2 linked regions of the Ovis aries genome follow. The main gene of each other region encodes a partner of the protein of the gene in region 2 in a complex. Links are inferred from orthologs where the notes say so. Each region holds a gene or a part of one and is shown on either strand. Other genes may lie near its edges. The genes, in order: PRDX1 and SIRT5.

Region 1 (4,361 bases), on a different chromosome or scaffold from region 2:
ATGGTTCAAATAAGTCTGATAGGATGCACAAGCAAAGAAAAAATTTCTAAGACAAAGGTCCCAAAATTCTCCTGGAAGGTAATAGGATTTCTAGTTGGAATTTTATTAAAGTCATTCTGATTACCAACTGAAGTAGATCTTCAACCTGTCAAGCAGTCTCTCACCAACAATTCCAAATATTCACATTTCCAGATACCAGCAATGTTTCAAAATCAAAATATGCTGGTCCTTCTGACACACTTCAACCTTCCCCCAGGGTTTTGCTAACAAGCTTCAGCAGGTCAAGCCCAGGAGGGCACAGAGCAACTCTTCCTAAACCTCATGCCTTTACCCTTAGGCCAGGGTCACCTCCCTATGGTACTACTTACTTTGTTTGCCAGGAGGAGCTTTCCTCCACAGGGCCCCACTTATCTGCTCTCATTCCAACCAGTATGTGGAATTTGTTAAGAAATCTAGTCATAGGTTTTACCCAAAAGCTAACTCTATGAACTGCTGTATCACCAAGAAAGGTATACTTGACGCCTGAGTCCTTAAGTTTAAATTCTAGGAAATCCGTATTTTGAACTGTCCCAGAATACCTTGCTATTCTAGGACAGTAAAGTAAAAAGATCCTCATTAGTATTTGCCTGGTTTCTACATGAAACTACTTAACAGAAAGGAGAGTTGTTCCAATTGTGACATCAATTTTTCTCTGGGGGTAAAATGTCAAGGGAACATGCCTAAACCCTCAATCGTGACACACATTTTGTAAACTGAACAGTTTCACAGCTCCAAAGACTTGAGCTCTGAGACTTTAAATTGTCCAAGGCTTTAAACTGTAACAAGATAATGAGTGTATCTCCAGTTAAATAACTGAGGAGCAATATTGGGAAGATAATTGAGATATTATGTCCAGATATAATGAAGTAGGCACATGCCTTCTCCAGAAGTAGTTTGGACTTGGAGATCTACCCTATGTTCACTGATGATAATCACCACTTCAATAGGAAGGCAACAGCCTCTTATCCTAAAGACAAATGAGATGTAAAAATCATTTTACACTCAAACATGACAAGAGATAGAGTGAACAAGCCCTCCCTAGACTGTACTATAATTTCATATTAATGAACTTAATTACTCTTACCTTTGTAGTCAGCTAGGCTGATATCCTTGAACTGACCATCTGGCATAACAGCTGTTGCTTTGAACTGGGGGGCACGGTGCCCAATTTTGGCATTTCCTGAAGACATATTGCTATCAGCTGGAAAAGATGAGAAAGTGAATTAGAAACAAGTCTTACTTTTCTAGATAACAACCTTCATCTATTTAAGAGACTAAGCTGTAGAAATTGTCCACTGGTCTTGAATATACACATAAACTTTTATAACAGTGAGAAGCATGAACTGAGCTTTCCAACTTTTCAAACAAAAATATTACACATCTCTGAATCTCACCTCTGTTTTCATTTTTGAGGGGAGGGACTGTTCATTTAAGATCTTTAAATTTTTATTGGAATATAGTTGATTTACAATGTTGTTTTCATTTTAAAATGGGAATTTCTTTATAAACTGAACTCTTCCTGTTCCTGAACCATCATCAGTACAACTGCATTTTCCTGTGTACGTTTATTATACAGGTGTACAAAGAGAAGAGGGTGGAAACTCTCAAACCTGGGCCCAAAGGTGCAATGCCATAAACACTAAGCACCCAAGCCTCAGAAGCTGCCATGATGCCCTTTCCCTGGACTGCACCTCCATCTGCCTTCAGAACGTGGGAAGCACACGTTCTTTCTCTGGGTAGATTTCCCAAGACACACACCCTAAAGCCAATCCAATTTTTTAAGAGGCCAAGTCCAAGATTATGGCATCTCTCAATTTCAAAATTCTAAGTGTTGTGTTTAAAGCCCAGAAGTCCTTTCAAAAGTGAGTTTACCGAGGGACCAAGATCCTGGAAAAATGGTTAGAACAAGAGTCAATTTATTGCCAAAAAGCAACGTAACACTGGATTCACCCTGGTCAAGAACATGGTAAGATTTAACCCAGTAAGTCATCAGTTTGATAATCCCAAGAAGCTAACTTTTCAAGTCCCAAAATTCTTGGTTCATAATACTACAGCCAAAAGAAAGACTGAACATCGACTGTGACAATTTTTTTTTAACCGCTTAACACCTATAACAGCAAACCAAAAAACCCAACCAAACACAGGAGGTGACCCTAATATACATGTCCTCCTTATTCAAACCTTTTCCAAGGGATCCCTACGTCCACTAAAGCACGACCAAGAGCGGGAGGCGGGGAAGCTGGAGTTCCACCGGGTGTGTCCCCTTCAGGAAATCGCCCCTTGAAGGTCCCTGGTGAAAGCCACTCCGCCAAAACCCACTTCTTGTACCCTCCCTGCCACTCCCATCATCACCCCCACCCTAGCGTCTCAGAAAGCTCCAGAAGAGTGCTCAGTCTTCACCGAGGACATTTAGAATCACTACAAACCCCATTCTGCAGGTGGAAAAATAAAGACGGAGAACGGAATCTTAGTAACTTTCCACACCTGAAGACCGGGAACAACCTCTCCTTCTACTACACGATCGACTGATAGCTCTCAGTTCCTGATCAGTTTGCAGATTCACTCGAGAAGTTTCCCTTACCCGCGCGTCAGGAGACTCCATCACCACCAACCCGCCCAGACGCCACGCCAAGCCAATCAGCGCTTTCTGCTTGTATTGCTGGGGGTAGGGGAGACTCAAGCTGCCGTTAGCCTCGGGTTTCAACCTCGTCCCCGCACCCAAAGGAGCCCCACACGAGGGTCGCTTCGCCTGGCCGCCTTCTTTGTCCGAGGAGCCCAGCTGAGTTCAGCGGGCCCCGAGGAGAAGACGGGAAAGGTGACGGGCGGGGCGGGGGCGCGGCCCTCATACTCACCAGTTCCAGAGAAAGAGGACCGATACCAGCGAGGAAGAAGACGCGCGAGGCGTGCGCGGGGCGCTGCCTTTATAGCCTGTAAGGCTCTCGCGAGAGTCAGGGCGGGCCGGGGGTGCAGGCGGGGGGAATGGGGAGGGGGATATGGCCAGCACACCGCCGGGACCCGACGTGCCCTGCCAGGATGACTCAGCGCTTTCCCTTGCTGGGGGCGGGCTCCCGCCCTTAGAGTACCAATCCCCCTCTCGCCGCCGACGGTTGAGGCCTGAGTTTGAGGCGCTCTTTCAGTCCTTTCAGAACACGAACGCCTCCTCCTTGTTCGTAAGGCCCAAACCAGGGTACGGGCACTCGCTGCTGCTCACGGAAGACTACGTCTAACCAAACCCTGAGGAGAACGATCTCTTCAAGTATTTCTGAAATATTCCGCCCCTGTTTCCGCAGCCTCTGCTCTAGTACTGATCCTCCGTGTGTGTGTGTGTGTTAGTCGCTCAGTCGTGCCCGACTCTTTGCGACCCCATGGACTGCAATCCACCAGGTTCCTCTGTCCATGAGATTTTCCAGCAAGGATACTGGAGTGGGTTGCCATTTCCTTCTCCAAGGACTGATCCTCCGTAACCCTCATTATTTAGACAGCCTCTCTTATTGTTCTTCCTTATAACAGGGTTGTTGCATTCCAGCTCCCCTGCATGAGTTCCTTTCCCATTCACTCCACTGCGGCTGCAGGAAATCTTTCTGAAATTTGATCTCATTCATTCACCGCTCTGATTTGTGGTTTATAGAAACTGGGGCTCTGTCTTCCTGGGTTAAAACTCTTGTTATTTTATGTGTGGCCTTAAGGCAAGAGTCTTAATCAATCAGCCTTAACTTTTCTCGCCTGTAGAATGGGAATACTATGAATTCTTTGTTGAGATCATCTCTAGCTTATTTAGCAATTCTCACACATGAAAGTGTTAGCTGTTGTTTTTAGTGTAACTCATCTTGCTCCTCTGTCGTAACTCCCAGGACAGAGAGTAACTGTTTGAAACCTCAGGCTTTTGTTCGAACGTGCAGAACCTGTTCTCTCCTATTTGGCCTGCAGAAAATGTGTCAGCTGAGGCATTACCTTCTGGTGAAACTCTTCTGACTTTCACTGATCCTCAGAATTCATTCCATCCTTTCTGCTCAAACAGTAGCCTGCTTGGTCACAACCATCTCTGCGCCCTCAAGTCACAACATAGCATCGGCTATAAAATAAAGAGTATTGAATACATATGTTAGGTAGTTAGAATAGGAAACAGGAGTCCAGAATGGCTGTGGCTAAAAGGCAAGGAAGGGAAAAGCCCGCGAAAATAGAACAAAGGAAGGTTGAGGACTGGAATGAGGACCTCAGGTGGAACAAACAGCACTCCAGGCTAGCCAAGTTTACATAGGGCAGGCCCAGGGGGAGGAAAAAACATAACACATAGTACTGTGTTCCCCTTTCTGCCCATAGCC
Region 2 (4,581 bases):
AAGGAACATGATCTAAAGAGGAGGGAGTGAAGTAAAGCTTGAGCTGGGATTGGTCAAGAGGCAACAGGCCCTCCTATTAGCCAGGATAGGAGGGTGTCTTATCATTTTCGTGGTTTAGAGAAAGTTCTTATTTAGACGGAAAGCGTCTGTCTACAATGTGGGAGACCTGGGTTCAATCCCTGGGTCAGGAAGTTCCCTGGAGAAGGAAATGGCAACCCACTCCAGTACTCTTGCCTAGAAAATCCCATGGACGGAGGAGCCTGGTGTCCATGGGGTCACAAAGAGTTGGACACGACTGAGCAACTTCACGTCAGACCTAATTATGAAGTCTTATTTTGTCCTGATTCATCATGATTACAGTGTAGCCTTGTTTGATGTTGGTGTCCTGTGAAATTAGTTACGTTCAACAGGCCTATCAGATAATAGCAGGTCAAAGGCCTATCAACTTATGAATGGATAAATAAAAACTGTGGTTCATCCATTAACAGATATAGTTCATCACTGGATGTATTTCATCCAGGGAAATACTATTCAGCCTTGTAGTTAAAAACTACAAGTTTAGTTTAACTAAAACAGTAAGTTTTAGTTTCATAGTTAAAACTTAAAAAGGTACTAAAAAGCTGGAGTATTTCAGACTGCTGCTGATCGTCAACTGGAAATTAGATAAAAGTCGAAACTGTAATGTTAAATAAAAAACATTTACAAGACAAAAAAAACATGAGTTTTTTTTAATGAATGTGGGAACTGTTTTGCTAAATTTTCCATTAATTTACAAGATATTCTCCAAGTCTCTCAATAAATGTGAAAACAAAGTAAAGGTTTAAAAAAAAAAAACTTTAAAAAAATTTTTTTAAATAAACACTGTTTTAGAACAGTGCCACCTGAAATTTATCTCCACGATTTGTAAATACTCAGAACAGAAGTCTATTTTCAATATGCTTTGTTGTTGCTGTTTAGTCGCTCAGTTGCAACCCCGTGGACTATAGCCAGCCGGGCTCCTCTGTCCATGGAATTCTCCAGCCAAGAGTACTGCAAGAGGCTGCCATTTCCTTCTCCAGGCGATCTTCCCAACCCAGGGATACAGCCAGCGTCTCCCGCATTGGCAGGCGGATTCTTTACCACTGTGCCACCTGAGAAACATTTTCAAGATGCTACTGCAAAGTATTCATCAGAAGAATCCTCTGTGTCAATATTTATGTGCTTTTCTGGGGGATCAGAATGGACAGTAGTTCTAGCTGCCACAAACTCAACCCAATTCAAACGCCAAAGCAAATATCGGGAGGGTAAGAAGGCCCCCACTGTGCTGAGTCAGAGGAGGAAGACATCAGTTTGTCTGGTCCAAAAGCCCTCAGGGTGAAAACTGCCCTGGGTAAAGCCTCCAATTATCTGGCCCTGATTTGACTTTCAGGTGGCAAGGCCTCAGGGAAGAAAATAAACTCATTCATCCCAGTCATTGGGAGCTTTCTGAGTGCAGGATAGGTTCTCAAACACTGACATTAGTCTCGGTGAATGGCAATCCGCACTTAACCAGGCTTTTTTGGGAAACCTGGAACTCACCTACCCAGTTAGAAAATCAGAAAAATGTCTCTATGTTCCCTGTTGAGAAAGGGGGCACCCCAATTCTTAAAAATACAATAATACAACAAATGTAAGGTTATATGAGGAATTCGAGAGAAAAAGCATTTACAAAACATTAAAGTACATCGAGAGGGAACTACAAAAACTCCCAAGGGTGTTCAATAAATACTTTTTGAACACCTATGAGTCAAACAAATGTGAAGTACCAGGCCCCAGCTATCAACACTGGGAGACTCACTTCCTCTCCCCAGTTCACCGCTGGCTCTTATCTAGTCACCAGCCCGCTCCACCTTGCTAAACCCAGCGGTCCACCTGGATCAGGTCCAGCCTCTGACCCCTTTGATCACCTCTTGGGGAACCTCTTGCTGCTCCTGGTTTTCCTCCTACCTGGCTGGATCGCTCACCCTCCCCGGGCTTCACCAGTGCACCCCGCCTCGGATGTCCAACACAAGGCTCCCAGCTCACAGTCAAGCCTCAACTCTTGAACGTTCCCCCAAAAGCCTTAGGTAGCCATCCTCCTTGGCCCCCTTTGGCTCACTTCTCCCTTTGGCTCACGTCTCACACTCACACAACCTGATATACCCCCAGCAACTGCAGCTTTACAACTGTGTCCCAACCCGGCCGCGCCTCCCACGCCCACCACCCGGTCCAGGCCGCCCCAAGTGCCACTCGGCCTGCAGCAGGGCCCGGAGGGCCTCTACTCAACGGGGACACCCTGCCCCGAGTCCCCCGGGCCACCCGTCCTTCACGGCGACCTACCAGGCCCACCCGCCCCGGGCACCTGACTTTCCAACCTCGTTTCTGGTCCCCTCCCTCGCCTCTCCGGCCGCAGCTAGCACCCCGCGCCGTGCCGGGAAGACCCCCGATCTTCGGCCTCCGCACGCGTGTCTGCCGGCGGTGTGGGGGACTGCCAGCTGGATCCACCCGAAGAAACGGGGTCCGCGCCCCCTTCCCTTCCTCACCCTCCCCTCCCCCCTCGCCCTCCCCTCCCCCCCTCGCCCTCCCCTCCCCCCCTCGCCCTCCCCGTTCCCCACCCCACCTCCACTCTCTCCCCTACCCCACTTCCCCTGTGCCCCTTCGCCTCCCACCCACCCTCGCGGACCCCGGAACCGGCCGAGGCAATTGATCCGCGCATGCGCGCCCCGGTGGGCCTCCCCTCACAACCCCGCGCCCTCCCCGGGAGCCCCCCTCCACGGCGCCCACCCGGCCCCCTGTGCTCGATCACGACCCTCGGAGTCCAGGGAGGCGGCGGAGATCACGGCCCGGCCCCGGCGCCCACGCACCTGTAGGAGGCGGGGACCGCGGCGGATCCCGGGCGCGGGGGCTGGACAACGAGCCTGGGGGCGGAGCGGCTCGAGCCACCTGCCCGGGGCTGCAGCGGCCCCTGCCGGAGGCCCACAGCTGATCCGGCTCCCGAGCCCTGGAGGCCCGTCCCTGGGCCTGCTCGTCGCACAAGATTGTTTCTTTGCATTTCTTTCTTGGGGAGGGGCGGGGGGAGGAGGTCCCGGCGGGGGAAGGGACGGTCTGTTGCCTCGTCTTTGTGAGCTTCCTAGACGTGTCGTGAAAGACGGATGAACTGCTTTTTTCTTTGAGCCTGCAGCTAGCTGGACCGCACTACTTAGCCACAGAGCATGTGAAATATTGGGGTGGCTTTCCCCGAAACGCTATTTCCAATGAAGGTTAGAGGGGTTCCCAGGCCTGCCTACCAATGACGAGCGCTGGTGCTGAGATCCTTACCCTGCCTCGGAAGGGACCAGTTTCCAGGTCTCGAGTACTCTGTGATCTCCGTGACTCCCCTCGTCTGATCGCCCTTAAAAGCAGTCATCTTTCTTTGTCTTTGATTCAGTCTCACAGCCAGAACTAATTTTCCGAGAATAGAATTGTTTCTAGACTGGCCAGTAATGTGATATTAGCATTTGTTTTTCCAACTCTGACCTCAACCGCCCCCCTCAGTTTGGCTGGAAGTCCCGCCCGCTTTGGAACCCCTCTTGCTCCCGCAGGTTATATCAGTCTCCGGGGGCCCTACGGGGTCCGAGAAAATTGGAGAAGGGTCTTATGTCTGACTGCTACTTTTTCTGTAACATATATATGGCACTTTGTACCAGACACCGCTAAGAACTTCACGTGTCTTAACCAGTTAAAATCTTCCCCATCCGATAAAAGATATACAGTTATTCCCACTTTACAGATAGGGAAACTGAGGCACAAGGCGGTCAAGTAACTACTCAAGATAGGCTGTTGAATAGCAGAGCTGGGGTTTGAGCCTAAATGCTTTGGCTCCAGCCACAGGGGTCTGCGCCACTGCCTGTACTGCCTCTCGTTAACATGTTGAGCTGCTTTTTGTGGTTTTGATGTTAGTCATCAGGTGTCAATCCTTGTCTTCATTCAGACACTGGGGGGAGGGAGGGCACACTGTGGGGGAGGCCCTGTGCCGGTCACTGCAAACTTCCATGGCACCAGCCACAGGTTGGATCCCTTCTGGGACATCACATTCTATCAAGGCCCAGGAGTCACAACCCACAGCTACCCGCTATATATCCCTTAACCACATACCTTCTTCCAGGCTTAGAAAAGCTGACTCTTCTGCCGATATCAGGCTACTTTGTCTTTTTGAAACATCAACCGCTATCCTTTCCATCCTTAGAGCAACTCGAGCTTCATTTCTTGATGGTCTTGTCCTTCCAAACCAAAGGCTGGTCCCTCTTTCTGGAATATTCGTTTTTCATTCCCTCAGTAGTAATGTTGCAGGGAAAAGTTACTTCTTACTCCATGCTGAGACTGTTTCTTTGATTTGCTTTTCGTTGCTTTTGTAATTGTAATTATACATAATGGCCTGCCTCAGGGAATCCTGCCCCTCTATCTGACTGTAAACTAAAGTGCCTTTGTTCAGAACCCTGTCCACCTGTAGACTGCAGGATGGAAGAAATTAACACATTCCCTGCCTGAGGTTTGCCATTCTAGGAGATATTTGCTAGATTAATGGCCTTTTTACTTTGTTCATTC

What was found.
Region 1: the proteins of SIRT5 (region 2) and PRDX1 are in contact, whole or in part, in a crystal structure (PDB 8Z54), measured with the Homo sapiens proteins. The link is inferred for Ovis aries from reciprocal best matches to the Homo sapiens genes SIRT5 and PRDX1. Residues at the interface, in NP_001363727.1 of Homo sapiens: Ala86, Tyr102, Arg105, Gln140, Ile142, His158, Val220, Val221, Trp222, Phe223, Gly224, Glu225, Asn226, Leu227, Leu232, Val253, Val254, Tyr255, Pro256; in NP_001189360.1 of Homo sapiens: Phe195, Ser196, Lys197, Gln198.

The regions. Positions count from the first base shown.
Region 1 is NC_056054.1:20,143,004-20,147,364, forward strand, and holds the start of PRDX1 (peroxiredoxin-1), read right to left. Parts: upstream 2,936-4,361; 5' UTR 2,642-2,935; coding exon 2,524-2,641; intron 1,241-2,523; coding exon 1,124-1,240; intron 1-1,123. UniProt on the Homo sapiens protein: Thiol-specific peroxidase that catalyzes the reduction of hydrogen peroxide and organic hydroperoxides to water and alcohols, respectively.
Region 2 is NC_056073.1:42,249,985-42,254,565, forward strand, and holds the start of SIRT5 (NAD-dependent protein deacylase sirtuin-5, mitochondrial), read right to left. Parts: upstream 2,912-4,581; 5' UTR 2,862-2,911; exon of another isoform or gene 2,782-2,861; intron 2,703-2,781; exon of another isoform or gene 2,671-2,702; intron 2,556-2,670; exon of another isoform or gene 2,338-2,555; intron 2,315-2,337; exon of another isoform or gene 1,817-2,314; intron 1-1,816. UniProt on the Homo sapiens protein: NAD-dependent lysine demalonylase, desuccinylase and deglutarylase that specifically removes malonyl, succinyl and glutaryl groups on target proteins.